2 linked regions of the Arabidopsis thaliana genome follow. The protein of the gene in region 2 interacts with the protein of the main gene of each other region in a biochemical or structural test. Each region holds a gene or a part of one and is shown on either strand. Other genes may lie near its edges. The genes, in order: SUB and AN.

Region 1 (17,534 bases), 3.5 Mb from region 2:
TTCAATCTATATGTGAACTTGAAGGTAATAACAGAATTGTGTTTTCTTTTTCGTTTAACATTTTAAAGAGTGAATTATTCATTGTCATAATCTTGAGGGTAATAGTTTCTTGGAGAGTTCTTTGTTTCTTATATCCTTAGTTGTAAGGTTTAGCTTGACTTTGGTACTCATGTCTATTGAATCCCACTCAAGATAAAAACTTGAATGTGTTCTAAGAAATGGTATTAAACTTGGATTTAGTTCTTTTTCCGGATATTGATTATTGATGAGAGGCTCTTGTTACACACTTACACCTTATGTTGTGTTAGATACAGTAAATTTAATTAAAAGACTGATTGACAATTATAGATTGATATGAGATGGATATGGAACAAACCATGTGTTGAAAGAGTAGATAGAACCATTCAAAAACATGTGAGGACCCATAAATGGTAAACTTAAGACCAAGTGTGTTTCGCCCTTTTCTTCATTCTAACCTGAGTTGCTGTTGGGGAACAATGACACATGTTTTGATCTGTCATTGTCTTCTCCCACTCAAAACTCTCATTTGCTTATGATTTGTTATCTACCTCATCAATCAAAATTCTTTGAGAGAATCTCTGCTTCTTCTATGTGTTGAATATATGTTGTGTTGTTATTTATGTGATTTTTTTTTCTTTGTTTTGCAGATGACTGTTTACTCAAACGGGGTATCTGTATTGATGCCAGGAGATGATATCCCTACGTTCATTGCTCATCCAGCTCCCGTGCCTTGTCCTCCTCAAAACATCTCACAGTCTCAGCATCAACATGGCTCATCAAAGGATTCCTCCAGCTCAAACTCCATTCAAGAATGTTGAAGATTGTTTATTTATCTCCATCACCATTCACCATTTGGCTTATTTAACATTTGAGCGACCAACCACATTTAGTTTGAGTTGAGTTTGGCATCAGATGTTTTTGTTTTCTTGTATTGTTCTGTTTTTTTTTCTCTCCTGATGATTTCGCTACATGGATTGGGTTCGGGGAGATTATTTATCTGCATTTTGTGTAAATAGCATTAGGATCAAAAACTGGTTTATGCCCTTTTAGCTTATAGCCTTAAGCGTATATTCAAGATTTGACTTGGGTTTATTTTGTTTCTCTGCTATTTGCTATTTAGTATGATGACTTGGTTGCAGAGAAGAAAAGAGAGAGTGTGTTATTTTTTTCTCTCTAAGATATGGAACTTTCTGTAAGTTACATAACTCTGAACCTGAGGTCATGTGGAGCTGATTTATAGTACGTTTAAACAAGAACTTGGTTATAAATCTCAATATCGGGAAATTGTAAAACTATATGTAAGAAGATGCAGACGATTTTATTTATTGGAAACTCATGCTATTTTTTCTGCCAGTGGTAGTTTTGGATCGAGATATGATTAGTGGATTAGGTTTTCAATGGACTAGAGATCTTCATGTTAGTGAGTGAAGAGTCTGAAACGTGTTGGGATTTTGGAATGCAGACATAACTCTTTTGATGTGCAGTCACCAATCAATGTGGATTTCACTGTTATGTTACTAAGGTAAATGGTATATACAGTTTTCTTTTCGTCTAGTCATGTGAATGGTACTTGTGTCATATGTTGTACTAGAATGATATTTAGGAGAAGTTGACTCATACTAGTGTTTGGCATGTGTGAATTCGAGAGTGTACATACATTTGCGTCACAATAATGGAAATAGAAATCATAATTTGATGAACGAGTTTACCAGGGGAACCAGTATCAGAGTCGAGATTTCACCTTTGGATTGACTCGAAATCACATTCAGTCATTCACTGATGAAATTGTACTTTTTGTCAAATGTCATATGTACAACTATATGAAATATTAACTTGTACTGTTTTACACGTTCAAAATCACACAAATCATAAGAAAATCTTTAGACCATGCAAATCACACGGAAGCAGTATTTTTGTGCATAACAATTATACTGGTCATGTTTCTTAATTTACTTCGACTGTAGTTGTGTAGTTAACGACTAAACGCATTGGTTCAACAAATTATGTAAAAAAAAACTTAACTCTTTACTGTTAGCTTTTTCTCAATAAGACATTTTAAATGTAAAAAAATCGACTAATTTACATATGCTAGAGACATAGCTAGATTTTGGTCTGCTTTTTCAGGTTACAACTATTTCTTCGTCATAAAACGTTTTTGGTTTCACTGTTATAGATAAATAAATATAAAATTTTGGTGAAAGTAATTAGTTTCTCACTAGTCTAGAGCAATCCAAAATATTGCCAATAAATACCCAAAAACTCTCTCATCATATTCACTCTGCTGCAATCACACAGCACCAAAAAGAGTTATCTGCTATCCACTTAACGACACCGTTCTCTGTTATGGGTTGTTGCCTCAGCTCCGCCACCGCCGACAAGAAAGATGATCCTGTCTCCGGCAAGAACACCGCACGGCCTCCATCTGTTATCGATGAAGAGACAGTAGTCAAAGAAGTCTTGTCCGAAACCACATTGCTCACTTCCTCTAACGACAATTCGACGGTGGAGAAGACTACGTTGACAAAGATTCAAGAAGAAGAGGAGAAGAAACCCGGGATTGTTGTCGACGTTGCTCAAGAACCGGTTTTGACCAAGCCCAGTTTGGTTGAACCGGAAAAAGGATCGGAGGTTTCGGAGAATTGTAGTTTAAGCGAGAGTTTGCTTTCGATCGTGAATAAGTACGACGAGGAAGAAGTGAAGCAGATGAAATCTCATGTAGTGAGACAGAGATCTCCGGCGAAATCTCGGAACCGGGTCATGGTTAGTTATCCAAACCGGAGAACCGATATGTCTCCACGTAAGAGAAACAACGAAGAAGAAGCTGGCTCGGTGAGGCTGGTTCCGTCGGCTACGGGTACGAGAGACTCGACTGAAAGATCCGAGAGAAGGTCTAGATCGCCGGCGATGAACAGGTCCGTCATGATGGGCCCAACTCGGAGTCAACAGAGTACAGACAGTTGTGGAGCAATGAGGAGACAAAGCCAGTCTCCGGGTCGGGTCAGACTCAATCCGAATATGAACGGGTCGGATCAAGAGTGTAATCATCACAAGTGGCCGGGTTCTATTGGAAATTACAATTCTGCCCCTAACGACTCGTTTGAGAACCCTCTTGTTTCATTAGAGTGTTTCATCTTCCTATGAGATAATGTATCTTATTACCGAATTATCGCCGGAATTTACAATTTCGAAGTTATTTGATCTTAATCAGTTTTCACATGCTTCGCCAGTTCAGAATCTGTTTGGTTGTGGATTTTGAAAAATACTAAAATGTTTTTCTGTTTTTGATTATAAAAAATGAGAAATTAAATTGTATGATGTGTGAGTAGGGTGGCAAAAGATTTGCTTCCGTGACACCAATTATTATATATTTTCTGACAGTCAAAATCAGACGCAAGCAAAGTCACGTAACTTTGACCCCAAAAAGAAAGTTACCATCATACACTAAATTCAATTCACTATGATCGTCCGAACCAACAAATTTCAAATAATGTATCATGAATATTTGAGTCTTCATCTTTTATACTCAAATAGGCTAAACTTATTAGTAATTTATTTATTGTATTATCGTCTAGAACTAATCCACGATTTGAATATGCTGTGTGACTTATAAAATCAAAGAAAATACTTAGTTAACATAAGTGTATTGGTTTAGTTTTTTCCTATATTAATAAACCAATACTCTTCTTTATTTCAATCAAAATGTAGTTCTTTTTTTTTTTTTACATCAAAATGTAGTTCATTTATAATTGGTTTAAGACTTGATTCATAGTGTAAAAACAAAATAGTTATTTAGTTTTACATGAACCATTAGTAGGTTCTAGTTTGTGTATAAAATAGTTTATTTGTTCTACAGCCTTACTTAACTATCTTAGTTTATATTCAATCGTGTAAAACAAAACTGGGATCCTTCCTTTTTGGTTACCATAGGTATGGAAGTAAAAGTATTTAGGTGTTGTTTAAAAAGTACAAAAATTCGATTTTGTGGTTTGTCTATTAGTAAATCATTCAAACGTTTTTTCTTTTTTTTTGATAGCAATTTTATTATTATTCTTTTTACTTTTATAGGCTCATCTTTTGGAGAGAGCATTGTAAAGATTATGCTTTTCTTAACGCTTTCTTGTTTGTCCTTTTGCACCCCACATCACACGTTAACTAATTTATTGGATGAATGTTGAATAATTTCCGCCGAGAGAAAAAAAAACAGGCTTCAATAGTTCTGTATCATACTTCAAACTAATTTAGAAAGTTTGAGTGTATCATACTTGTGTATATTGGAAAATGAAAATGGAACGAGACAATTCAATAGTTCTGATCAATTTAATATTTTCAAAACGATCAAGTGCATAACAGCAAATTGTATCCAAGTATCGTCTAACAAATTCTTTTAAGTTCTTTTTTTGACTTTTCATAATCTATAGAACTTTTTCTTTGAAGCTTCTTGATGTAAAATGGTAGGGCGGAAAAAGCTAGGGTGATGTAAAACCAAAACTTGAACCAAAATTCGTGTAGATACGTAACTAGATTTGATTTAAATAAATAAAACATTCGTTATGTGCCTTGGATCCTCTGGCTAACGGGTGACCATAAAGTAGTGTTGCATTCTTTAATTTTGTTTCGCCTTTTGCGTAATGAGAGACCATATTATAAAATAAAGCCTAACTTTACAATATCTGTATTTTTTCCTCGACACTCTTTTTTAAGAGACCAATAGTTTGAATTCATTATCATGCATCTTCCAATCTCATAACTAATTTGGTATGCATGTATAAGTGCTACAATCATTATTATATGGGGTTTCTGATTTTTTGAAGTACAAGAATCAAAATGAATCCAACCTGATTGGTGTAGTTTTGGGTCGAGTTCGGTCGAAACAAAAATTTGATTCGGTATTATTTATTTGATTTTGGTTCGGTTTATTATGGTTGGCACTTGGCATATTGGTTTTGAAAAAAAAAAATGTTATCATGTACGATTTTTTTTGGGTGCAAAAAAGCATCATGTACGATAGTTTTCTACTTTTCTTCAAAGATTGAAAGTAACCGTTGCAATCTCATTGCATTATTAGGCCTACGAGAGGTATCTTCTTTCAAGTGGGCTTTACCATTACACTATTGACCAAGTTTGGGCCACATTTGGTTTGAATAGCCCATAAGAATGTGGTTTTTTTTTTTTAACTAGTCGCAACTTATTATCGTGTATGGTGTGAACTTGATTGATTTTGACAAGCCAAAAAAATCGATTGATAATTAATTGATCTCGACAAAATAAAAATCTAATATCAACACATAAGCTCACCAAGCATGTTTTATTCTTTATTGATCATACAATGTATGTTTGCTGTTATTATTCGGGTTGCAAATAATTTATGTGAATATCAGAACTTCAGAAGTAACTCCTACCAAAAAAGGAACTTGAGAAGTAATCACATATGAATATCGAAGTTACTCTCATCTCAAATTATGCAATGATGGCATTCCATTAAATTACTACTATTGAATTGTACACAAATCCTCCATCACATCAACCAACAAACAAAGAATAATACAAATTAAGAATATATTCCAAAGAAATTGATAAATAGTGATTGTTAGTTGTAACTGTAAACACAAAACCAGAATTCTTAATTATTAATAGAAAAACAAAGGTTTCGAATGGTAACCAAAATGCACCGTGCAATCATACATATAACATTAGTTAGTTATTTTTAGAATATATTGAAAAGATAATTATTGTATAATTACTAAGTATATTCAATTTAAAGTCGTAAGAAAAAACCCTTTATTGGCTCTAATTGTTTAAAAACATATATTAGGATTCACTAAGATGTATAATTGAAATCAATTTCCAAACCATGTAAAAGTACTAGTTTTCTCAAATAGTTTGTTGCTATTAGTTTGTTACTAAAACTAATTCACACATTTTTATCACCAAAAGAGCAAAAATGGACGTGGGATGAATATGATGATATTTTTTTTGACCTTGTTGTAGGGTCTCTCACTCTCTTCTTCCATTAAAGAATTCTCAGAGCTTTTCTTACTTCAACTGTTTTCTTGGCCCATCTCACTGAAATAAGTGTGATAAACTCTGCCTGTTACATTATTTGGATTTTAATAGGTGAAGTAACGGAATATGTAATCTACATCAAAATAATATTCACTTCTATCTCTCTACCTTATGGCATTAGAAAAATCCAATTATTACATGAAAGGAAACTATAGTAATTAGATGAAGCATAGAAGCGACAATTAAAAGACATAAAGAGAGACAAGTCTTGGCAAGTTTTCTCTGTTTCACACTTTGGAGACGAAACCTTAAAGGCTTAAAACTGAGAAAAACAAAGCCGTTGGCTTTTGTAAGCCGCTCGTTCTTCGAGACAAAACACACTACACTCTTTCTCTCTCACTCACTCTTCATCTCTTTTCTTCTTTCTCTCTCTCCTAAAAATCCGACGAAATTATGATTCACTTTACCTTTTAATCAGGAATATCCCTGTTTCACCCTTCTTCTTCTTCTTCTTCTTCTTCTTCCTCGTGTTTTTTTTCCATAACATTCCCTCTGAATCTTCGTTTTTTATTGGAAAGAAACAATCTAATCCAAGTTCAAGGGTTTTCTCATCTTCAGTGGCTGAAGTTATGAGCTTTACAAGATGGGAAGTGTTCTTTGGTCTCTCTGTTTTAGCCTTGACAATGCCTTTCTCAGCTGGAGTTACTAATCTACGAGATGGTAATAATCTTTCTCTGCAAAGTTTTTTTTATTTGGATTTTGCTTTGACTCTCCTTCTTTTGGTTTAGTGAACACTCTAGATTTTTTTTAGACTTGTGTCTAGTGAAAATGACTTACATCAGTTTTAGGGTAAACTAGGTAAGCAATATAGCTGTTTGGGAAGCTCCAGATTGGCAAAGTTCTATGATTTTGAGGCTACCTCAAAAACCCTAAAAAGTTTAGGTTTTTGACACATAAGCTCTTGTTAGGGTTTTAGTTCAAGACCAAGAAATTTGTTCTTATTGTTCTTCATTAAATGGTTATCATAAGAAAGATTCTTTAATCTCTAGAAATTTTACTTTTTGATGTGTTTGTCTGTTGTTTAATAACTTCTGCAGTTTCGGCGATTAATAACTTGTATATCACTTTGGGAGCACCATCTCTACATCATTGGCTTGCTTTTGGAGGAGACCCTTGTGGAGAAAAGTGGCAAGGTGTGGTGTGTGACTCCTCAAACATCACAGAAATGTATACTTCCTCTTCTGCTCTTGTAACTCTTTGTTATGGTTTGCTTTGAGTCACCAATTCAGGTTCTAACCACGTGAATTATTGTTGTTGGCTGCAGAAGGATACCTGGCATGAAGGTAGGTGGAGGCTTAAGTGATACTCTGGCTGATTTTTCATCTATCCAAGTCATGTAAGCAAAGCTTCTTGTCTTGTTTTCTTTCATCTTCATCTTTTGTATGAGGCTTCTTGCTATGTGAAGAACATGCAAGATGTTGTTACCATTGACTATAAGGTTTGGTTATAATCTTGAATTGCTTTGTGATACTTTTTCTCTCTTCTTTGTTTGAGTGGACAGGGACTTCAGTAGCAATCATATTTCAGGGACAATTCCGCAGGCTTTGCCTTCTTCCATCCGAAACCTGTGCGTTTGAGAATTGACTATGTGTATGGCAATACTTATGTTTCCAACAGTTAAAAGACACTTCATGTTTGGTTTCATTTTCTTGTTTCAGATCTCTCTCAAGCAATCGCTTCACTGGGAACATTCCCTTTACATTGTCCTTTCTATCCGATTTGTCTGAACTGTAAGTCTTTATTAATGTAGATACCGTTTCTTGCATCTGCGGTTTTTCCTCTGTTTGAAGCAGACTCTTTCTTTTCCCTTCAGGTCATTGGGAAGCAATCTTCTATCAGGAGAGATACCAGATTACTTTCAGCAGCTATCAAAACTGACAAAACTGTATATTTCCTCCTCACTAAGTCTCATTTTGTATCCTCCCATCAGCGTCTTTCATTTATACATTAAGTTTCTAATGCAGGGACTTATCGTCTAACATACTGGAGGGGCATTTACCTTCTTCCATGGGAGACTTAGCTTCTCTTAAGATATTGTAAGTGCACATATATGAAACCGTATACAAACATTGTTATCATTGCTTTTATATGTGATGTGGTCGGACTGTAGGTATTTGCAGGACAACAAGCTCACAGGAACACTTGATGTTATAGAGGATCTTTTCTTAACCGATTTGTAATCGTTTTTCACCTTGCATACTCTTTGTTCTTGACTCTCCAACCATTAAGCCAACTTCAGTATCTCACTATGGCTTTTCATATTTTTGATTCAGGAATGTAGAAAACAACTTATTCTCGGGACCTATACCGCCAAATCTATTGAAAATTCCAAACTTCAAGTAAGTATTACTAAAAGAAAACTTGAATGTTTTTTTTTTCCTTTTCTTTAGCCATTCATGTTACATTGTCATTATAACCGCAGAAAAGATGGAACTCCGTTCAATACATCGATTATAACACCACCGCCTCCGCCTGTGGTTGATCCTCCTCCCGCTACTCACCGTGCTCCTCCTGTTCCCCGTATCCCTCCTGTTTCTGGTGTTCCCCCAGCACCTTTTGCTCCTTTTGCTCCACTGCAACCACAACAACATCCACCACCATCACCACCTCTGGTCTGGTCACCACCTTCTTCTGATAATGGAGGAGGAGATCCCTGGAACTCTGTGTCAGGGCAACCTACCTTGCAAATATCACCTCCTTCAGGTTCAGGATCAGGAAAATTCTGGTCCACTCAAAGAATCATTCTAGTAGTTTCTTCAGTGGCCATAATTGTTCTTGTATCCGGTTTGTGTGTTACACTTTGGAGATGTTGCAGAAGTAAAATATATAACCGATATTACAGTGGAGCTCGTAAAGATTTACAACGACCATACTTCAATAAGCCTCCATCTCAACCAACCCCCACTATGGGAAAAGGTACACTGATTCTTTTCCTTCCAAGAAAAGAAAAGAAACTTGTGCTTTGGCTCATTACCTAACGGCAAACTGCTGTGGTGTTTTCTTTTGTTGCAGTTTCTCGGGAGCCTATGGTTAAGCCTTTCGATGGATATGGAGCTGGAGACAGGAAATATGGGTATCCAATGCCACAGCGGGCTGAAGAGAGCCGGAGAGCAATGCCTCCTACTTCATATTATAATAAGGATGTTAATACACCTCAAAAGCCGCTGCAACAACCACCGAGGCAGTTCCAGTCCAATGATACTGCTTCAAAGAGAGCGGCTCATTTCCCCCCGGGCTTGAATTCCTCATCTTCTGCTACTGTTTTCACCATTGCTTCACTTCAGCAATACACAAATAATTTCTCAGAAGAGAATATAATCGGGGAAGGGTCGATTGGTAATGTCTACAGAGCTGAGCTTCGTCATGGAAAGGTGTGACACTTTCCTCTTATTTGTCATTTGGTCTTACAGTATTTTATGCTGTGCATTCTTATTTACGTCTTGACACGTTGTGATCTATAGTTTCTTGCGGTGAAGAAGCTGAGCAATACCATCAACAGAACACAGAGTGACGGCGAATTCCTCAATCTAGTCTCCAATGTGTTGAAGCTTAAACGCGGTCATATATTGGAGCTTCTTGGTTACTGTAACGAGTTTGGTCAAAGGTTACTTGTGTATGAGTACTGTCCTAATGGATCACTTCAAGATGCACTACATTTGGATCGCAAGTTGCACAAGAAGCTCACTTGGAATGTACGTATAAATATTGCATTAGGAGCTTCAAAGGCATTGCAGTAAGTTAAAGAACCTCAACATGTTACGCCAATCTATATTTGGAACATATAGGATCTTAGAGTTTGGTTTCAGGTTTCTTCATGAGGTATGTCAACCGCCGGTTGTTCACCAGAATTTCAAGTCTTCCAAGGTTCTTCTTGATGGAAAGCTCTCAGTACGTGTTGCAGACAGCGGTTTGGCTTATATGTTACCACCACGCCCAACGAGTCAGGTAAATTTGTCATCTTATTTTGAAGATCCCAAACATAAGAGTGAGTGTTGTAAAGGATATGATGTTTGCTTATAAAATTGTAGATGGCGGGTTATGCCGCTCCTGAGGTTGAGTATGGAAGCTACACTTGTCAGAGCGACGTATTTAGCCTTGGGGTTGTAATGTTAGAACTGCTCACTGGACGCAGACCATTTGACAGGTTAGCTACTCTAAAGAGACAACTAATAGAAGCCATAAAAGAGTCTGAACTCAAAAGTCAACATGTTCACTTATGTTTCTTATGCAAAATCACTGTACTACACTATCTCAAGACAAAACCCTGTTTTTTTTTGCAGGACAAGGCCGAGGGGACATCAAACACTAGCTCAGTGGGCGATTCCTCGGCTTCATGACATCGATGCGTTGACAAGAATGGTTGATCCGTCATTACACGGAGCGTATCCAATGAAATCATTGTCACGTTTTGCAGATATCATATCACGTTCACTGCAGGTAAACTTAACTTCATTCATCACTTAACTAGATGAGAAAGCAATGTCAAACACGTGACATCAGAATATTAACTAACCCTTTTGACTTCTGTGCATGCTTATCTTTGTCTGTAGATGGAACCAGGATTTAGACCGCCGATATCAGAAATAGTCCAAGATCTTCAACATATGATCTAAGATACACAACCTTGGACTAAGACGCAGAAGCAATAGTTTATTGTCAGATTCTTGTTCTTTGTCCTTTGATGAATGAAAGTATTTCTTTTGTATTATAATAACACTTTATGTATGTTGTTGGCTGTATGAAATGAGCTATGGGATCATCATTATGTAACCCCAATCCCATTACCGGCTCAAACATTATTCACCAACCTGATCATGTATTTAGATTCTATTTTCTGAAAAGGATAAACATTTTTTGAATCAAAAGACATTAAAATTCAAGAACAAAAGGTTGTACTTAACAGTAGTGTAAAAGAGAAGGTAACTTGTTCAACTAGCACTGTAGACAACAAAACCTAAACTTCAAATCAATCTGCTCCACAGAGGGCATGTGATTGATGCTTTAGAGTCGTTTCTCTGAAAGAAAGCTCCCGAAAGCCGTAGTCAAGGCAGTGGATGTCACGAATGAGGCTCTTAGTAAACCTATGGCCTGGATTAGTGTCAGATTCAAAAAAAAATATCAGGAAAGAATAGTAATATAGATATACATGTGTTTTGCCAATGTTGATTTCATGCTCAAAAATATCGTCCAAGTTCACATCAAACTTCTTCTTTACGCAAATAGTAAGATCATCTGAGACAATGTATGTTGCCCCTCTCTTAACTAACCCATTGCTACCATGAGGTGTCGACTGAGAACTACCGTCACTGTTTAAATAACTGACCCCAAGCAACGGTTTCTGCAAACTATATTGCCAAGGAAGCATACATGTGTTAGTAGATGCATCTGTGCCTCCCCTAGAGCTCAAGTCCTTCAAGCTTCTACAAAAGTTGCCAATGCATACTAGGTCGATATTGCTTCCAGTGATTTCCCATACAGACTCCAAAGGGATAGCAAGGAAAATGAAAAGTAGATCCACAAAAAGTCGTGTCCGCTTTCAGCGTCAAGAACCTTCATGTCCTGCTTCCTAGCAAACAGAGTGAGTCCCTGCTTCACCTCCATCTTGCGCGGGTAGCTTTGGCATGTCATGCCAACGTGTCATACCACAAGAGCTATGCTTCTTCATCATCATCAAATTGTGGAATCTCTGATCTATTTATGCCATTACGTTTTCGCACTCTCCGATCTATTTATGAAATTTTTGAATCCAGGTTCTATCTCTGCTTCATTGCTTGCTCTCTTCGGAAACTCCTTTCACTGATGTCTTTTTGAAATTGGGCCATCTAATTTTTTTGCATATAGGATGATCACTACTTGCCATAATTGCTCAAATGGCTATAGAAAATGTAAATTCTTACTGATGGAAAAATATAAACGAGAATTAAATGAGGGATCTAGAGAATTATGGGGGTGTTAAAATAGCAAATCTAATATTATTTAATTATAAATTTTAAAAGGTCTAATAAAATCTAATAAAATCTAGTGTTATTGAAAGCTTGAAAATCTACTCAAAATTTTCATGTCCTTGAAAACTTAAGGATTAGATTTTTAATGATTGTAAGAGATTTTTAAATCTTATGGCTTTAGGTGGCATTGTGGTTTTGAATGGTTTCCTTAAATCCACCCAAAATCATAAAAACATAGAAAAACTCAATTTACCTCAAATCACTCAAAATATAAGATTGAATACACCCCCTTAAATGCTTGATTTTGTTCCTTTTATCCCTTTGAGATATAAATATTTGCTCAGCAGAGAGAGATAGAGGCAATACTATTATTGATGGAGGAGGCAGAGAATCGAGTGGTGATTGCATCATCAACACAAAGAAAGAGAAAGAGAAGAAAGATAAGAAGAATAATAAAAAGAAAAGGTTAGATCAAAAATCAGCTCATGGACTGCAAGAGCACTATCGTACGCAGGCCGCCTTACTCTCATCAAATCAGTACTTGTAAGTATCACCAACTTCTGGATATCTGCTTATCGATTACCAAACAGTTGTTTAAAGGAAATTGAGAAGATTTGTGCGGCTTTTCTGTGGTCTGGACCGGATCTTAATCCCAACAGAGCTAAGATTGCTTGGACCGAGATTTGTAAGCCAATAAATGAGGGAGGGCTGGGAATTAAATCACTAGTAGAGGCAAACAAGGTTAGTTGTTTGAAATTGGTATGGAGGATACTATCCAAATCAGAGTCTTTGTGGGTTACTTGGATATGGAAATATCTCATACGAAAAGGGTCATTCTGGTTGGTTAAAGAGAGCTCCAATATGGGTTCTTGGATGTGGAAAAAGCTATTCAAATATAGAGATTGTGCCAAGACTATGCACAAGGTGGAAATTAAGAGTGGCAGCTCAACCTCTTTTTGGTTTGATAATTGGTCACAGTTGGGCAGATTGATCGATATAACAGGTCCTCGTGGAGTCATTGATTTGGGTATTCCTCTCGATGCAATGGTTGAAACAGCTCTACATCCTCGACGGCGTCGAAAGCATCGAGTTGACGTTCTCAACAGAATTGAAGCTGAGATACATACTACTCGCCAACGGATCAGAATAAATGAGAAGGACATCTCGATGTGGAGATTTGTGGGAGATAAGTTTAAGACAACTTTCTCAACAAAGTTCACTTGGAATAATATTAGAGGCACACATCCAACAGTGGTTTGGTCGAAAGGTGTATGGTTCTCTTACTCTACGCCCAAATACTCATTCTTAACGTGGCTTCCAATTCATAATAAATTAGCAACAGGGGATCGAATCAAGAAGTGGAATACGGGGCAGCATGTACACTGTGTCTTATGTACGAACACGGAGGAGACGAGAGATCATTTGTTCTTCTCCTGCCCATACTCCTCAACGATCTGGGAGAACTTGGCACATCGCCTTCTTCAAACAAACTACTCATCAAATTGGCACCAGCTCACCGCAATGCTTCACAACACAAGCACTCCCCGGCTCCACCTCTTTCTGCTTCGTTATGTCTTTCAAGCTACTCTTTACCATATATGGCGCGAGAGGAATGCTAGACGACACGGCGAGATACCTACCACAACAATTCGACAAATCAAGCTAATCGATGGAACCGTACGGAACCGTCTCAGCACAATCACAGCCACTAGCAACCATCGTTACAAGGATGGCCTGCAGCTTTGGTTCTCCACACGCTCGTCCTCTTAGCCCGAGTGTTCTGTTTTTCTATGTCAAACTCTGTTTCTACTTCTCTTCTAAATTTCAGCATGAAGTAGCATTTATTGTATAAACGTTTTTTGTTTGAATATAATTTTACATTCTTTCAAAAAAAAAAAAGAAAAAAAAAGAAAGAAGAAGAAGAAACGAGAAGCCAGTGATTGCTCCATCATCTCTGCCAAATGACGTCGTAGAGGAAATCTTCTTACGATTTCCAGTGAAAGCACTATTTCGACTCAAAACTCTCTCGAAACAATGGAGATCGACGATCGAGTCTCAATCCTTCGAAGAGAGACACTTAAAGATCGCCGAGCGATTCCATGCACATCATCCTAGGGTTATGGTGATCACTGAAAAAGATCCCCTAAAACTATTGCCTCGACCTCGTCCAGACGCAGACATTGGTTTTAGGTTATTCTGCTTGGAATCGGGTTCTCTTCTATCCTTTATTCTTCTCAATTTCCCTCAAAGTTTCGCCAACTATATCTACGTTTCTGGATGCTGCGATGGCCTTTTCTGCGTCCATTCACCGAGATCGCAAGCCATGTATGTAGTAAATCCGGCTACACGGTGGTTACGACAACTTCCTCCAGCTAGGTTTCAGATTTTGATGCAAAAGGCCACTTATAGAGATTGGTTAGACATGAAGTCAGTCTTTCATCTAGCATTCGTGAAGGCCAATGATTATAAATTAGTGTGGTTGTATAATTCTGACAAGTACAATGCTGATGCCTTGAGTCCAAACGAGGGAGTTACAAAGTGCGAGGTTTTTGACTTTAGGGCAAACTCTTGGAGAGACTTGACTTGCACTCCAAGTTATCGGATATTTCATGGCCAAATACCAGCATGTGCAAACGGGTCAGTATATTGGTTGACGGAGCCATATAATGATAAAATCGAAGTAGTGGCTTTTGATATTCATGCCGAATCATTCCGGTTGCTGCCTAAGATCAAACCGGCTATTGCTGGTTCAGATCCGATGCATATTGACATGTGCACTCTGGATAATGGTTTGTGCATGTCGAAAAGAGAACCGAATACGTTGGTCCAAGAGATTTGGAGGTTGAAATCATCAGAAGACTCATGGGAGAAGATTTGTACTATAGATTTGCTTTCATGTTCTTCTTCCCGGACTCAGTTTCGTGATGAATTTTACTGGGACGAGCAGGATTTGGTTAATCCATCCACACCTGTGGCGTTATGCAAGAACAAGACAATTTTGCTCTCACATCGCTATTCCCGCGGTCTGCTAAAATATGATCCCCTAACAAAGTCTCTAGCTTCATTTTACCAACGTCCTTTGTCTCGGAGAAAAGTTTCTTATTTTCAAAGTTTAATCTCTCATATCTAAACAAATCTACCTACTGATTTTGACGTGTTTGGAAGAGACGAGAAGAGCTTTTCTTAAAATATATACAGTATTGGGATTATACATGAATACTAGCCAAAACAAGAAGTTAGTGACTACTAAATAATGAAAGCAAAAAACAATCTAAAACTATTTTACTATATCACATAATAAAATTGTACTTTTCAATATTCATAAAGTACGTTTGAGTTGATTTCAGATTTTATGTCAATCAATCTGTGGAAGTAACAAACATTTCTTATCGAAATAAATGATCTTCTTTTTACTTCACCAAATAAAGTCGTTGATTGGGATTGACCCTTATTATGCAAGAAAACTTAAAACACCAAAACATGGGAAGCACTTAGATCATGTTATGCTCTTGTCCAAAAGAGAGACAAATTATAACACGGGAACTAGAGTAATAATTTATAACTATAAAAAAACAATTTAATACAATACAAGCAAATGTCACATATCATAAACCAGGAGATCTTCACCAAATATAACTTTTACAAACCTTGATTCCGTGATTATCTTTTTGGGTTTTTATAATGTGAAAAAAAAATATCTTACTACTATATGATTACATTTTGGAAGTGAGAAAACAGTTGACCAAAAAAGTGTGAACATTGTATTGAACGTTTAAACGCAAATACATGTGTCGTAGGAACAAAAACACTCAAACACAAATATTCAAAACGTGATTAACAGTTGTTAAATCAAACTTCAATCAACCTCTTCTTTCAGATCAATTAATCTACCCACAAGGCCACAACCAAACTTTGAAATTTTCATTGTCTTTTTTTTTAGAATCAAGAAGTGGTAGTTAATTAGTCATTTAGTATGATCTAGTTGTAGTAGATTGTATCCGTGTATTATTGGTTATACGAAAAATTCAATGTGGTATAAAATTCAATATTAATTCAGGCCGTTGAGTTGGTTATATTAAAATGGAATTAGTTGACGAGTATTTTATTTATTTCAATCAAGTTGTGTGATTGACATCTTAAAAAAAGTGTTAAAACGTATTGCGATTAACCAGTAATACTTGTTATTTTTCTTTTTCGTCAAACTGAACATAGTACTTTTTAACTTTGTTTTTTTTTTTTCCTTTCCTGTTACTCAATCATGATAAAAACAATATTTTAAAACCGACAATAAAAAAACAAAACAATATTTTAAATTTGTAATCCGTTAGTTGTGACTTGTGAGTGCTATATTTATATTTAGGTTGATTTATACGTGTAGTAGAAAAGGAAGGGTATTTTCGTCAGAAAAAGTAACGACGAGGGTCCAATATTCTGAAGTTTTCAACGATTTGTGTGTGTATTATTCTCATCATCAATGACATAAATAAACAAAATAAAATAAAACATAACAACCGGAAATGTGTTTTTTTTTTTAATAAAGAATTGAAAATGACAGAATCTGAGAAAAAGGACGAAAAATTCGTCGCTTTACTTTTTTTTATCTTCGTCTCTGTTTTGTTCGTCTGCTCGTGCCACTCTTTCAAAAAATCTCTTCTTTTCTTTCTAAGTTCTTCTTTAAATCTCTAATCTCAGCAGGAAGCAATCTCTTATGTCTCAAGTTTCTATTTTCCGAATCTCCCAGAAATCTTCAACTCTGTCTTGTCGTCTAGTCACATTTTGAATTTTTAAACCAGCTCCGACATTTTTTTGTTTTTAATTCTTTTCGATTCATAACAAAGGCTGGTGATTTGGCTTCAGCTTCCTAGTCGCATGAATCTACTGAAATCGAGTAGAAAATGGCGAAGCGTGGATATAAGCTACGTATCCTTTTATAGTTCTTCATTGGTGCTATATTATTGGAAACTTGTAACCTGAATAACAAAAGATACAAACTTTAGCTACATATTTGATTTATTTTCACCCCTAACTTTAGAAATTTGATGTTGTTCATTCACTGTAGCGTTAGGGTTTATCTGCATTGGTGGGGTTTATGTTCTTTTTTTTGTTGGTAAATTGTTATTTGAGATTTTTCATGAAAATGTTCTTCTGGGTTCTAATTTCTGCCTCTGTCATCTTAAAAACCAAACCGAGTTCAGATGATAGAAGAGACATTGTTATCTCTGTTTGTCTTGACTTTTTCTTTCGTTCTGGATATGAATTTTTCTTGACTTGGATTTGGAAAATTAGAGGAGTTTGTGGCACATTCTGGAAATGTGAATTGTCTAAGTATCGGAAAGAAGACGTCACGGCTCCTTCTAACAGGTGGAGATGATTATAAGGTCAACCTTTGGTCAATCGGCAAAACCACTTCTCCAATGGTCTCTTTCACATTTCTCTCTTTTTTTAATTTGTTCATTCTCGCTGGTCTTCATTTGCAATTTCTTATCTGGTTTCAAGATTTGCCAC
Region 2 (15,809 bases):
CAATCAAAGACACACCAACTAGAAATGTTACAGATCACATAGATCAAAATCCAGAAGCATAGTGCTATTATTAGTAAAGACGTTACCCATAAAAACCACATGAGACCAATGACATAATCTATACATACATAGAATTCAATAATAACAACAACCTTCAGGACCACAACTCACAGGCAATGCAGTTAAATAAGAGAAGGACTCTGATCACGATCACTCTTAACCATCTACATAAATATCCACAAGCATTTACTTAATGGATCTAAGCACATTACATGACGAGGTAGAGAAACAGAGACAAACTTCAATACCAAGCAATACAACAAATAAAATTCTTTGATTACGCAAATTGCAAAACCCCCAACTGGTAATTCCTAAAACCCCAATCTAGAAACGAGTAAAGGAATCAAATCGGAAATTTGAGAATACCTAAATCCCTTATCTAGAAGTTGAGTAAAGGATGAATATTTAGAATGAAACCAATACAAAATCAAAGAATACCTAAAACTCAAATTGAGAAACAGAGTAAAAGGACCAATCTTTAGAATCAAAATTGAAGATTTGGAAGTACCTATTGTTAAGCAAGTTCTTGACGGCGACTTTGGTTCCATCAGTTAAAATGCCACGATACACAATCCCGTAACCACCTTCTCCGATTACATTCTCTTCACAAAGCCCATTCGTGGCCGCTTCAAGCTCTCTCAGAGTATACCATCGGCCCCATCCAAGATGCGACACCTCCGGCCCACAATTCCCGCTACCGGAATACGACGCCGTTTCACTTGCACTCGCTGTTCCTCTACTCTCACCACTCGACACTCGATCTGAAAACACCACTCGATGCTCGATCTTCCCGATATCGACCTGGATCTCCGCCGGAACAGACTGATTCTGCGCCGGAACGATCTCTTTAATCTCCTTTGAAATCGGCGGTGTAGCGATGGCGGCGGAGGCGAAATCGGCTCTCGGCTTTCGATTTTTCCGGCGAGAAGTTAAGCAGAGGGAGAGAAGAAAGAGTGCGATGACAATTAGAGATCCAAGTAAGATTCCGATCACGACCCATAGCCGGAGACCAAAAATCGATGTCGGTTTCGAAAGCTCTGTATTAAGGAAAGCAGCGTCGTACACCGACATCGTACTTTAACTTTTAGCTTAGATTCCGTTACAGATTCTTCCGGTTTCTTCGCATTCTTCGCCGGAAACACACAAAACTTTCCGGCCAAAATCTGGGCTTTGTCACAGCATCGAGTGTTGAATCGAGGAAGAACAAAACAAATAAAAAGATTAAATTGATAAAATAAAAAAAACGATAACGAATTTAAAGAGAAAGGCTTTGGAGTGATCTGTGTTGATGTAATTGAATGAGCTGTCTTTTTGAGTTCCTGTCTGAGTGTAATTGCATGTGTGGTGACGGTGAGAGAAGGTTACCCGAAATGTCTATTTTACCCTTTTATGGAAAGTGGAAGATAGTAGAGTCTTTTATATAGTTTTGAGGAGTTTTTTGGTAATAAATCGATGTCGATAGCCGTTGGGGTGGTATGATAAGGTACGGTTCAGTGCAATTAACCAATCTGTGGATTACACATTGGTTAGTTTTTCGTTCTTGTTTTGACTATAATTGAACCTTGACGTTTGATTATTTAATTGCAAATTTTATATGGATATAAACATACTCATGGAATAATTATTGAGTTTACTTTATGAGAAACTAATCACTTTTGTTATGGGAACATGAGTGCACCAAAAAATCATTTGTTTGCTTCTGATACACATTATTATTGGTTTGTTCATAAAAAATATTTGTTATATATATAGGAAGAACATTTTTTTTTGTTTATGTCACATTAACACACAAATCGGATTTCTCATATCATATATGCAGTAAGTAGATAAAAAGACTGAAACTGCAAGTCAAGGTGATGAAGAGCCTGATTATCCTGAAAGTCAATGTTATGAGTAATGTTGTATTGTTACAGTTTTAATGGTGGATAAAAAAATTGTATCTTTGACACGATGGATTGTGTAGATCATTCGTTGAAACTTCGGAGGTCAAATGTATTACTATTTCATAATATTTGTGTCTTCAAAAAGTTTGGTTGGCTCTTAAAAGTAGAGCAATTAATGAGAGAATAATATTTAGTGTGGCCACGTATAATCTAGGTTTCCTCCTAAAAAGGGTTTAGGTGGGGCTAAAAGAGAAAACCCATTATTGCTCCAAACAAGTAAATTTTGTAGTATGCCAATAAGTCAATGATCAGCGGCGATGGTTGGTTTAGACTTTAGACTTTAGAGTCGTTTGGAAGTGCAAGCTTATGATATGTGGTATTTGGGCTTTTTTAAAAGTAGATTCTGAGCTAATAAATGTTGTCTTTTGCATTTGGATATTTCATTACCTGGGCTAGAATTTGTTTTTGTACAAACTCTAGCTTATAGAATCTTACTTAGTTTTCCCTAATCAGTTTTAGTTTGGTTCCTTGTTGGGCTTAAGACTTGTAATCTATATGCTAGAATCTTTTACATACTTGACTATTGAATACCATTACCGACCAAAAAAAGGAACCCAATCAGATTTGATTCCCACCGATAAATTGTAACAAGAAGGAAAAAGATATAACAAGAAACATGAGAAGTGTATACATTTTTAAAAATTCGTTTTTCAGGAGAGGTATATAGGTTATAGATTATCAATATATCATCATCATGTATAACAAGCAATTAGAGGCAGAGAAACATAGCCCATTAGGTAACGATCATGGGCTATATTAATCACGGCCCAAAACAAATTGTGTAAAAGTATACTATATTCAGAGATGATATAACAAATTGTGTATCACATATTAAATCTAATTTAATTATCACAACTTTTTTTTTGAAAAGTCAGCGATCAATTAAAATATCAAAACAACTATTTACTTAAATAAAATCTTGGAAAGTCGGACATAAAATTTCAATCATGTCATTTATCAACTTTCAATCATATTATTTTGTCAATTTGCTCTATAAAAACAAAAGTAAGTTGGACATAATATTTCATATATACACTATATGAATTTTATATAAAAAATTTGAACACTTAAAATAAATATAAAAGATCAAAAAGGATATTGATTATAGAAAAATAGTGGAAAATAAACACATGGAAAATATTTTTTAAGAAAATTGTGGATATCCTTCCCATATTTTAAAAAATTGACAGGCTGTAAACTTTAAAAAATGATAATGTTGGAGATAAAATAGAATATTGTATACCTTTTATTGACGAAATTTGTAAACCAATATATACTCCTAGAGTGGTAATTCATAATTTTGTTTCTTATAAATCACTATAGAAAAAAATATTTTCTTTCAATGCTCAAAACATATTTTGTAAAATTTAGTCTATAAATACAAATACCTATTATCTCTAATATAATCAACTCGCTTTTCTTTTTCTGTTCAAAACATCTCGAAAATGGCGAGAAAGAATCTTGGTCGTAGAAAAATAGAGTTGGTAAAAATGACCAACGAATCAAACCTTCAAGTTACGTTTTCAAAAAGAAGATCTGGTCTTTTCAAAAAAGGCAGTGAACTTTGCACCTTATGTGACGCGGAAATTGCGATAATCGTGTTTTCACCCTCGGGAAAAGCATACTCTTTTGGTCATCCAAATGTTAACAAGTTACTTGACCACTCTTTAGGGCGTGTTATAAGACACAACAACACAAACTTTGCTGAAAGCCGCACAAAGCTCCGTATTCAAATGCTCAATGAGTCTTTAACTGAGGTAAGTTTTAAGTTTTGGCATTATCTAATCTTTATTTCTTCTCTCTTTTATTTTTCAATTTAGATAAAAAATTATTATATAAGTGTTTCACAATTTGTTTTTGATTTGTAAAAGAAATGGTAAACCTCCTTTGCATATTTATTTCCTCAACAAAGTAAATTAAGAATGAAAATTTTGGTGGGTTCAATTTTTGTTTAAGTCATAGTCATGGATTCACGGATTTTCTTTACACATTCATTATTCATGAAATTAATTGTTTAAAATACAATTTTATCTTAGGTGATGGCTGAAAAAGAAAAAGAACAAGAGACCAAGCAGTCAATAGTCCAAAATGAAAGAGAGAACAAGGACGCTGAGAAGTGGTGGAGGAACTCTCCAACAGAACTCAACTTAGCTCAATCAACTTCCATGAAATGTGATCTTGAAGCTTTGAAGAAGGAAGTTGATGAAAAAGTCGCTCAACTTCATCATAGAAACCTAAACTTCTATGTTGGAAGTTCTAGCAATGTTGCTGCTCCAGCAGCTGTTAGTGGTGGTAATATCTCCACAAACCATGGTTTCTTTGATCAAAACGGAAACTCTACTTCTGCTCCAACACTGCCGTTTGGATTTAATGTTATGAATCGCACACCAGCTGGGTACAACAGTTACCAACTCCAAAACCAGGAGGTTAAACAAGTCCATCCTCAGTATTGGGCTCGTTACTATTAGTCTATCTCTCTCGTTGTGTGACTTTTTAAGTCTCCAATAGTTTGTTCTGCTTTTTGTTTTGTTTTTGTTTGTTGTTGTTGTTGTTGTCGGGCTTTTAATTAAGTCTCGAGTCAACTAGTTTCTTGTTTCTTTTCGTTATACTTTGTCTTGTAGCTTTATATCATTTTCTTGTGGAATATGAGTAAGCTATATGAAGTTTCATATTATGTCATTAGTCCATTCCGTATAAAAACCTAAGCAACAACTGAATATTACAAAAAAGCTAGTGACTTTCTACACAGGCTTTATCTGAAGTAATTTTCAAAACTAGTTATGTCATTAGTCCATTCCGTATAAAAACCTAAGCAACAACTGAATATTACAAAAAAGCTAGTGACTTTCTACACAGGCTTTATCTGTCTTCTAAGACGTTCTAAACTATTGAGACTTATATGTACAACCGGTTCATTCATTCATATCCCATGAGACTACCATTAGAGACTTCTCTCTATCGTTTAGTTCTAACTGGCGTTGTAAGATGATATCAACTTCCGCTGTAATAAACAGAGAAAATTTGTTTACTCTTCAATATTCTCAAGAGTCAAAATGTAACAAAGAGTCGACTAGCTCTTACTTGTTCATCAAACTCGGGACTCGTCAGGTTTACAGATAAATTTTTCATCAGTAAGAGAACCTGTTGAACAAAAAACCGTGTAAACGTTAGTTTTCAAATCAAGACATGTTCATGTGCAGAGTTATTGGTTTTCATACCGTCTCAAGATTTATTGGATCCATTTCCTTTAATCTCTTGACATGACCTGTTGTTTTAGGATCAAACACACTTCCTATAAAATTGTAAACTTCAGCGAAATTTGGCGCCACTGAATTGAAAAACCAACATCAAACAAACAAACTCATAATCAGTATATGAATATCACAAAGTCAGGAATCTCAAGCAAAATTGTTACCTCTATGTGGCTTTCCACAACTTTCTTGGTCATTTGTCTCTGTAACGATTCTAGTCCTCTGCTTATCTCTACTACTACTAGTGCTGCAACAGTTCTCTGAGACACCAAATTCCTCTACAATCACAAATTCATTACCCCACATTATTAACAACTCAAACAAGCAATATCTTCAGATTATTACATTAGTCCACACAGCAAACTTAAGCACATATTTTACCTTTGATAACAGAACTTGGTATACTAACATCGCAATGCACTAATCCATGCTTACGGGTGGTGCTAATCACCGGATGTGAATTAGTGTTGTATAAGTAGTCATGTTGAAATAATGCGTTTGAAGAAGAAAGAGTAACTGCATCAAAAACATAACCATGAGAAAATGAGATAAAGTAACAAAAGCGGAAGTAGAAAGATAAAAGGTTTAAGGTTGCCACATTTAGGAGCTTTTTGTGGATATGGGTGATTGGCTTTCCTCTTTGGTCGAGGAGGTGGGAGATGTTCTTTAGTCCCATTCTTCTGAACTTTGAGAAAGTACTTCTGTGCGTGGCTTCGTATCTACAAAACCAATATTCTAGTTACTATCCAACATACATAGAACTTATATCTCCAATTCCACCCCAAAGAACAGAGTTCATAAAATTACTTATATGTAACTTCAGACAAAAGTATGGAATGCATATGTTTGATTGATTACCTGTATCACTGTTTTTGATCCAACAAAGGCCTTTATTTTCTTCCAATCCCGGTCAAATCTGCAATCAAATAGACATGATCATATCAGAAGAAGAAGAACAAATCTCAAAGATTCTATATATCATTAATCAGATAAATGAAGGCAGAGAAGTGAAATCCGTGTCAACATACAGATGAAGGGCTTCAAGGAACTTGTCGTGTTCTTGCTCCGTCCAGTTCTCTCTAGATTTGGTGATAGTGTAAGGCTTTCTAACCTTCTTTGTTGGATCCTCAAAAAACGACATCGTCCTATTGCTCCGTATGGAAACCGGTATCGTTGTTGCCGTGTGGGGAAGAGTATTGAAACCCGGTAGACTCATTTTCATAGGCAAACAATGAGCTTGGCTAGGGTTTACAGTCACCATAAAACTCGACAACACACACAAAGTTCCCTTTTGGTTTGAAACAGAGTTTGTGACTTGAGAGACTTGTGTGAGAGTGGTGGTGGTATAAGCGGGAGAGGGAGACAAGGTTAGAAGTGTAATCTCATTCGAAAAATGGATTTAAGCCGAACACGTGTAAGGAGCCGGTTGCTCTGGTTCAGAGCGTGGGACTAACAACTACAAGCCATGTGGACATTCTCCTAACACTCATGCCACGTACAAATTTAAATCCACGGCACATAAATTGCCACGTGGAATACGATCGTAAGCCAGCAATCTTATTTACGAGATAGCTGCCTAGCTGGGGCCTGGTTCGACTAAAAATGAAGGTTACTTTCTTTTGTAGTTTAGCTCAAATTTTAGTTATGTACGATGATGTGTTTTATGTACGATGATCTCTAAAACACAAACGCAGCATATACAAATACAATACACACACCTATTTCAAACTACTAACCAAACACACAATGCTTTCGAGTTCATCACGACCAGACCCAGAAAACAACAACAAACGTCCCTCTAAGACAAGCTCATCGGATGTTTCTGCAAACCGAGAATAAATAAAAAGAAACAATGATTACAGATATAAGTTGGTTGATACCAACTACACAACACACGACACAGTCTCGAAACACAAAAATTGGGTGTCTCTGTTTTTCGTCTGTGAATCCTAAGGATGTTAAAGTAACAAAAGTAATTAAAAGAGAGAAACTCACAAATGGAGAGACTCTGTTTTTCTTTTTAATCGATCCAACGTGTGATACCATCGTCTCCTACCATTGCCAATATCTCCACACGAACGTCCAACACCGCCTGCAACATTCATTACACAAATTATTTCTGTTTTCCAAGAAGTAGGGTTTTTCAATTTCGGGCCATTTTCTGTAAGGACAGAGACTTACAGAGGAATTCCTGCAGTTAACAAGCCGACATTCGTCCAGAGAACCTTCTAGACTCCAACTCTCCCACACGTCAAAACTATGGCTAGCAAACACAAACTCCATTCTTCTATTGATCTGCACACACACACACCCATGACACAACCACTTTTAGATTCCATAAGAGCAACATTGAGTTACCAATGGAAGTAACACTCTCTAATGTAAGAGCTACCTGCAGTAACTTCCCACCAGCAGCAAATGATCTCAGACCAACAGTGTCCTGGAAAACAAGTTCATGCACCAAAACCAATTTATAATGGTCTATCTGGCATTGTAAGCAAGATAAATGAAAAGTAAGAGAGAGAAAAAGGTTTACCTTGTTTCTGTATGCGATAATGAATTGTGCAGCAGGATCTCGTTTGGATACATTGGACAAAGTATCGAGGAACCAGCCACCGTTTTTCGTTCTTTGCCTGGAAACGTGGAGGCCCGAGAGGTCTTTCGCATACAAGGCTACTACATATCCATCTTTCAGTAGCTCACTTGACTTTCCAATGAACTTCTTACTTGACATTACAAGCTGATTTGGGGAAGACTCTTGCATTACTTCAAGAGGTGTTTTCCTACTTCTGGAATCTTCAGGAGAAGCACATCTAGAACTGGAACTTAATACTTCTTCTGTGTCACTCATAGCAATATCATCTCTTCGTGAAGTACTTTCTTCATTTAACCCTGAGGAACCATCCGTTTTTTGCATGTATTTTTGCTGTGAATGTCTCTTTTTGGCTTTCTTACCGGATCTGCTACGTCTTCCTTCAGGTTTTACGGCAGTATTTTGAGAAACGTGTTGCTGACCAGGGCTCAGAGATTCTTTTAACTCACTAGCCTCTCTACGTACGATCTCAGTGCTGGTGAGAGTACTTTCTCCCTGTTGCCTACTGGTGGATTCCACTATTGCTAATTTCTCGTGTTTGCTAGGTGATTGTTCTTCTTCTTCACTTGCTTCACTTTCCTCAACTTCCTCATCAGAAACAGTGTTACTTGGAATTACACCATCTAAGAAAAATGAATGCAAGATAGAGATAGCCTTCTCCCTTATCTCCATCCATACTTCCTCACTGTAATCTGCACTGCGAGGTAGAATTAACACATTTGGCATTTCCTTCACCTGCAATGAAAACAAGATATAATGGATGCAGGATAAACAACAGAAGAAGATGATGAAACAAGAGAATAGGCAGGCGCAAATGTGAAGTTTAGTCACTGGAAAAGAAAGTCATACCCATGCTTCCATCCATTGTGGACCTTCAGCACCGTCAAGGGCGCAGCCAGCTATAGTGCCATCAATTAGAAGTTGTTTCACAGCACAATCATCCAACAGCTGGCAGCTTCCAGTATTTACAAGAAAAGCCCCTAATACATAAAATCAACCAGAATTGAAGGGAATGCGAGAAAGCAGAAGTTCATCTTCAATTCACATTCATGGAGAATCAAATTTCATTTGACAAGAAAACTCATACCAGGTTTTATATGCTGCAAACACTCTGCATTGAGTATCTGAACCGTGTCATTTGTTAATGCACAATGTAGCGAAATGACATCACTTGCTGCTAGAAGATCATTCAATGTATCCATTCTTCGAGCAGCACGTGGGAATCTCGAGGGCCTGATTCGTTCTTCATCTCCCTGAACAGACGCAAACGCAACTATTGACAACAAATATAACATCCAAGGGAGAGGAACTTGAAAGAGAGCCATCATAGTAAGCAGTTTAGGAATGTAGTAGCTAAGAACTCAGCACTTTTTTTGGTCCCTAAAGAGTCAGTTTACACTAAGATATTAAAAGCTTAGCGAGACATTGCCAACAAACATACCTCTGGGACATCGAAGTAGAGCACACTCATCTTGAAAGCCAAGCTTCTACTAGCTAAATACCGAGCCGATACAGATCTGCCAACGATACCCAAAACCATACCACGGCACCGTCTCATTCCCCGGCAAAGAGGCTGAAGCGATCCGAGCCAACCAGACGCCGATAGAGCGTGTCGCGAGAGTAAATGCGTCCGTCGAAGGAGTCCAAGGATGAGCGCCATGACGGTATCCGCGATTTCCTCGGCTCGTGAAGTATCTACATGGACAAGTCGGAGACCTAGGTCGGCGGCGAGAGTCGAATCGACAGCGCGATCAGCAGAGCCAAGGCAGAGAATGAGCTGGTGAGGACGGAGTCGGCGTTGAGCTGCTCGTGGAAGATACGCGAGGGAATGGAGGAGAACGGCGGTGGCGGACTCGATCTTACCATCGGCGATGCGGCTGAGCGGGACGTATTCGACACCAGCAACGCCGGCGAGGGAGTCTTGCTCGAGCGCACAATCCTCTATACAGTTGAGTGTAACGACGTGAGGCGACGCCGGTGACGGCTGGTCGCGATGTGGCATTGTCGCAGACGAACGGATCTTGCTCATCTCCTCCTTCTTCTCGCTACTCTCGAGGAGTGAAATTTTGATTTTGGGAACATAATGATTTAGGGTTCAATGTTGTAAACTCTTACAAAATTAAGGGGCTAAATTTCATTTATAATAATTTTCAGGGCCCAAAATACAATTTAAACAAATTGACAATAATTTTTTAGTCCAATGCTCATGCTCCCCCGATAAGACGTCATCGGTTTGACATTTATGATAAACGACGCCGTCTTCCACTTGGCTTGTTGTAATAATTTAATTTACTAATTGCAAACAGATACTGAATACAGGTGAAACATGTACATTCCCTATTCCACATTATTTCCTGACCAGAAACCGAAAGACAAACTCCAGCGTTTGACAACAACAACAATAACACGAAATCTCTTTCTACACAAGAGCAACGACATAGACAGACTTGAGAAAAGAAAGAACAAAAGAACATGACTGGAGCAAGATGGGAACTCTCTTTTGTGCTACTAAAGTATATGAACAGAGCCGAATATATATATATATTCAAAAGGACACAAACAGGTGAAAACCAAAAGCTCTATACATCTATCTACCAAAATTCTATCTCTTTTATAACCCACTACGTTACCGACATTCTTAGTAGATCTCGAAATGTCTAAGTGGGTTTTTAGTTTATGGTAGGTGATGATCAGAGAAACCTCCTACGAAGGTTACTAGTTGTTGCTTGATACGAACGCATGAGTAATCCAACTCCAATGCCTACACCAAGACACATCCCAAGGCCTATCCCAACTCCGACTCTGACTCCTGCATTGAACCATGAGAGCTGACCATCCTCATCAACGTACATTCCTTCAGGGTAATATCTCTGTGCCATTTTCATATCTGAGTCATCGTATTCATCAACTTCTGATTCCATCATCTGCATAAACGAAACGACAAACAAGATAAAGCACCAAAAAAAGTGCAAAGAGAGTCTATTGACCTATATCCATATCTCAATTTCTGATCAGTCAACAATTCTACAATTTTCAAATTCAGCTGTAGAGTCAAAGAAAACATTCAAGCAGGAGCTAAATTCACCAGAAACTTGCGAGTGATCTTAATAACTAAATATCTGCTACAGCATTCATAACTCACAAAACTAGACGAAAGAAGCAACCTTTTCAAATCTCAATCCCAAGTTATTAAGAATCGTAACTTAAGGGCTTGGACAATCACCAAACAGAGAATTGTGAAATCAGAATCATACCTGTACTTTGCTTTGACGGGCCAATTCATCACCAATGGTACCAATGTCTTGCTCTTTGCCAACTTCCTCATCCTCAGGGATAGCGTCGAGTGTCACGTGCCTAGCCACCTTCCTCCTCGGACTCGCCTGAATCGTCTTGGTCAATATCACCGGGACACCACCACAACAACCAGCTATATAAACCTCGACGGACGGAGACGAGACTCCAAACTTTGGCTGGAAAAACACAGAGGCAGAAGGACCTGACACGTGTCCGTTTCCCATAGCAATGTAACAATCCATGCCCCATCCAGTCTTGGGATCACTCACAGTTCCATTGTTCCAAGCACCTTCGATTCTATCTAGGTTCCCACACAAGACCATATCCTCGTTATCATAAACCTCGAAATCAACGCATCCGGTAACGCGAACGGTCTCAGTGCTCACGTAAGTCACCTCCGACGATTCCCGGTCGACTCTGTCACGGCGGAGTTTAAGCGACGCCGTCTGCGACGAAGGAACGCGAACGCCGTTAACCTCAAGAGAAGCACCGGTTTCGCGACGAGGGTGACGGAGGGTGAGGAAGTCAGGGACGTTCTCAACGACGCAAGGAGCGATACGGACGTAGAACAAACGAACCTCCAGCCACGCCGATTGCGACAACGAAATTGATGATGCCGGAGACGGCGGCGATACGGTGGAGGTATTCATGTGGTACGATTTGGTTGTACCCAGAGGATCCAGATGATGAAGGTGATCTTTCGAAATCATCGAGAACGATTAGATTCAAGAAAACCTAAATTCGCAAATCTGGATTTGATGAGAAAATTGAAGGATTTGAGGAACAAGCAGAGAATGAATGAGAGGAGGAATCGAACAGGAACTTTTTTGTTTGTTTGTTTGTTTGTTGTGTTTAGGTTTTTGAGGGTTTCAGATATTTTCGAAGGTAAAAAAAGGTCAAAAAATTATAATTTGATTGAAGACGAGGTAATTACGGAGGGGTCAAAGAAGAAGAAACCGACAGGATAAAATACCCTCCTCACCTGTGAGATTCGCACGTGTGACAGTTTTTTTTGGCTTTTTCCACACAAACAAAAAAGGTTTAATAACTGGGCCATCAATTCCACACAGTCCGTTAAATGGGCTTAAATCATATGGACTCAGCTCAATTGCTACAAATCATGTTAGACCACTTTTTTTTTTCGTCAACTACATATGGTTCTTTGCAAAAAAGTTATGGATATATATAGTTTTGTATAATTGTAAAAAGCAGACCACATTTAGATCTTAGTAAATAATGATTCAGAAAGCAACATCATTTTACTCATTCGGGTCATTGACCGTACGGAAATTATTAATTTTAATCATAGCTATTACATTCTTTAGTAGATGTTCTTTTTCTCAATGGTTTAAGAGAAAATTTATCAGCTGTTGAACTTTTATCCTTGGAGGATTCCTCACCGTTCGATTTTAGATCTTGTCGGAGAAATTGGACTAACTTTGGATATATATTTATAGGCCGGCTATAATGTTTTCTTCTTCATCCTCTTTTTGTTAACACCGAAAAGATTGGGGCTTGTCATTTCACTTTCTAATTACTTAATTAGGTAGGCGAATATAATCATAAAGTAACATTCATATATAAGATTAATCTGACATCAATATTTAATTAACGTTTAGCTGAAATAAAGATTTTGCAATTCATGTGTATGTCCGCAACTCAAGATCCGTGTCGGAGGTTTACTTAGTTGATTTTATGTCACTTAATTGCACCACGTAGCATGATATTGATCGTATTTTAGATCCTCCAATTGTAAGATTGGTTTTACTTTTTTAATACATTTCGTAATTTTTAGTTAACATTTAATTCATAATCATATTTTACGCTGACGATGGACTTTTTTACTATTTAGAGGTTAATTAACTGATAACACGCTTTATTTTGCCTTAGATTATATAGTGTGCAATTATGATAGTGAACTAATTAAAATAGTTAAGATAACTATATTGTCCCCAATTGTACGTGTTTCCACATATAAAAACACTGTCTGATATATTCTTAAGTAGCATTGTAGCAACATCATCACTTTAATTTTAAGATAAGATTAAAAAAATATTTTAGATAATAAACTGAAAGTTAACAAAAATAGACTTTAATTGTCAAAAACAAGCAACTCCATTAGTAGCAGCTTCAAATGTTTTTATAGAGCATTTTCAATTTTGGTCAAACTATAAAGCAAAAGTTTTTATAGAATTCTCTTTTTTTTTTTTTTTTTTTGTCAAAGTTTACCAGAAAATAATAAATGAGTACTTAGGTCAAATTGTGTTTACTCTTTGATTCATCGCCAAATTACTACATGCAATGCAAGTCCTCTGAAGGCTTAGAATCGACGGTCCAGATCAGAAGATGAGGATGGTACGATCAACGTAAGGGTAAGAATTGACTATTAAGCCGCCTTTTTTTATAATAACAAAATACATAGAATTTGTACATCAGAGTAATAGGTCCCACATCCCACTCTAAGTGGCCCAGATTTACACAAATCTCATCACGTCTCGTTTCCTCTACTCGCAGTTTGCTGCGTGTTCTCACGCGCTAGCCAAAAACACAATCCACTTGTATATATATTTCGTGGACGTCAAATATTAAAGAGAAATAATAATTAATCTACGTGGGCAAACACGTGGAATATGCAGCTGTTTCCCACTACTAATGTATGTTTTTTTTTTTTTTGTGTGTGGCTTGGAGAATATTATTTGTCTTTATTTAGAGAATCAAATTCGTGTAGGATTGGCAAACCGATGGTGGGAGCGAGGACTCAATTATTAGACAACGTACTTCGTATACATATAACTTGAGAAAATAAATCAATCATAGAATGGAAGTTTATATATAAAAATGCAATAAGAAATATTGACAATTTGAGTGTTTCAATATTTTCTTAATGATTGTATACATTATTTATTTCCTACAGTATGTTTTTACCAACAAAAAACAACCAACATTTATATTATAACTAAAGATATTTATTTCGTATTAATCGATGGATTGGTGATCAAAAGCAAAAATCATTTACAAAACTATTAAAAATTTGAGTTTTATTTTTGATAAATTCTTTAATAGATTTTTTCTACAGCATGTTTTTATTCGGCTGAAGCCAAACATAATATTATCATGTGCCAAGTAAAATAAATGATATATATATATATATATAGAGCCAATTAGATGCATAGACTGATAAACATAACAGTTAAAATATAAAGTATTATGATTTGAATGATTCGAATTAAGTTTAGATAAGCATACCTAATTAAGGTGTTGTAATAAGTCTCTGGACACCATTGTATGAAAATGACAAAATTCGTTGATACTCCCGAGTGGTGTAGTATAATACAACAAACTCATACTACTATATTCTGGTCCCTTAAAATACAAAAACGAAAAACGTATTTTATCAAAAAGTAGGAATTCGATTTAGATAATAAAAGAAGAGATGACGTGGATAAGGTGAGAAAGAAATTTCAAAGGGTCAGAAAAAAGGAAACAAACACAAACCAAAGGACCGAAAGTAATGACGCTGAGCCACAACACCACGCGCCTTATCTCACGCGCATACAAGCAAAGACGAAAACAAAGAGATCTCTTCTCGTCGCTCTCTCTCTCTCTCTTTCGTACCATTCATTCATTCATTCATTCATTATTGAGAGACTACTGATCTCTCTCTCTCTGCATGCATCTTTCTCTCTATTAATCTCTCCAGTATTTGTCAGGATTTGGGTATTTTTTTAATAACGATCAGTGTCCAATCTCTCTTATCGTCTTCATAAGTTTCCTATTATTTCATTCTTCTTCTTCTTTATTCTCATTTCTCTCTCTCTCTCTTTTTACTCACAGACAAATCTTTTTCACATCTCTTTGCAAATTCTTGAGAATTCATTCAAGTTACATAAAAAGCTGAGAGCAATGAAGGTCGATCTCTCTCTCTCTCTCTCTTTCTTTACACGTATGCAAGATTTGATTCCTCGGATTAGAGAATTTCTATAAGAAAAAATAGATTTTGATTCTTGAATCCGAAAGTAAAAAGCCTTTTTCTGTGTTTATTCGTTATTAATGAACCTCTCTGAATTTATTCCTTTTTGCATTACTTCATGTGCGAGTGTTTATTACATGTGATTTGCTTCTTTTGGAGTTTTTTCTTCTTAAAGAATCTCACTTTTTAACTTATTCTGATCCTAATTGCAACGAAACTCTTCTTTTTATTTTTAATGATTTTTTTGTGTGTGGCTGAAATACCGTTTTAAGGTTACCAGTGAATTATTAACAAAATCAAATCAAGAATCATAAATTGAATGATGAGTATGCCTCTGCTTTTGCAAAACTCTGTTTCTCTACTATATATGTTCACACAAATACACATGCACGTCACTCTGTGTGTGGTATGTACACATATCATTAACTTTTTGGTATCTTCTTTAAAATCTGCAAATCTCTGTTTTTCTTGCTCCTCTTCCGGATAGAAAAAAACTCAAAAATCAAAGATTATGTCATCTTGGTGTTCACATCTCTTGATGATTCTAACTTGTTGATCTTTTGTAATAATTTTGCAGAAAATTGTGTTAAAGCTGGATTTGCATGACGATAGGGCAAAACAAAAGGCCCTTAAAACGGTTTCTACTCTCCCAGGTAATCATTTTTCCATGCTCCTGTTATATACAATGTTGGTCATCA

The links.
Region 1: the proteins of AN (region 2) and SUB form a complex in vitro, tested with the Arabidopsis thaliana proteins (one study listed by BioGRID).

What each region holds. Positions count from the first base shown.
Region 1 is NC_003070.9:3,716,482-3,734,015, forward strand, and holds SUB (Leucine-rich repeat protein kinase family protein), read left to right. Parts: upstream 1-6,226; 5' UTR 6,227-6,653; coding exon 6,654-6,744; intron 6,745-7,087; exon of another isoform or gene 7,088-7,121; coding exon 7,122-7,251; intron 7,252-7,348; coding exon 7,349-7,420; intron 7,421-7,585; coding exon 7,586-7,651; intron 7,652-7,742; coding exon 7,743-7,814; intron 7,815-7,897; coding exon 7,898-7,969; intron 7,970-8,048; coding exon 8,049-8,120; intron 8,121-8,194; coding exon 8,195-8,260; intron 8,261-8,357; coding exon 8,358-8,423; intron 8,424-8,506; coding exon 8,507-9,000; intron 9,001-9,096; coding exon 9,097-9,455; intron 9,456-9,545; coding exon 9,546-9,817; intron 9,818-9,890; coding exon 9,891-10,029; intron 10,030-10,112; coding exon 10,113-10,228; intron 10,229-10,364; coding exon 10,365-10,521; intron 10,522-10,634; coding exon 10,635-10,697; 3' UTR 10,698-10,969; downstream 10,970-17,534. Other genes in the region: AT1G11120 (CTTNBP 2 amino-terminal-like protein), read left to right, coding at 25-98, 669-839; AT1G11125 (uncharacterized protein), read left to right, coding at 2,365-3,162; AT1G11145 (hypothetical protein (DUF674)), read right to left, coding at 11,051-11,155, 11,231-11,563, 11,635-11,685; AT1G11160 (Transducin/WD40 repeat-like superfamily protein), read left to right, coding at 16,925-16,949, 17,316-17,446. UniProt on the Arabidopsis thaliana protein: Regulates the expression of transcription factors that define the cell fates.
Region 2 is NC_003070.9:181,302-197,110, reverse strand, and holds AN (NAD(P)-binding Rossmann-fold superfamily protein), read right to left. Parts: upstream 9,967-15,809; 5' UTR 9,877-9,966; coding exon 9,289-9,876; intron 9,101-9,288; coding exon 8,935-9,100; intron 8,828-8,934; coding exon 8,697-8,827; intron 8,583-8,696; coding exon 7,791-8,582; intron 7,695-7,790; coding exon 7,647-7,694; intron 7,550-7,646; coding exon 7,436-7,549; intron 7,347-7,435; coding exon 7,275-7,346; 3' UTR 6,639-7,274; downstream 1-6,638. Other genes in the region: AT1G01540 (Protein kinase superfamily protein), read right to left, coding at 569-1,131; AGL28 (AGAMOUS-like 28), read left to right, coding at 3,449-3,760, 4,040-4,471; ASG4 (Homeodomain-like superfamily protein), read right to left, coding at 5,052-5,144, 5,222-5,331, 5,419-5,532, 5,636-5,770, 5,853-5,973, 6,113-6,170, 6,283-6,515; AT1G01500 (Erythronate-4-phosphate dehydrogenase family protein), read right to left, coding at 10,538-10,771, 11,102-11,851; AT1G01490 (Heavy metal transport/detoxification superfamily protein), read left to right, coding at 15,431-15,517, 15,689-15,764. UniProt on the Arabidopsis thaliana protein: Involved in controlling the equilibrium between tubular and stacked structures in the Golgi complex. Required for cortical microtubules (MTs) arrangement that confers cell shape.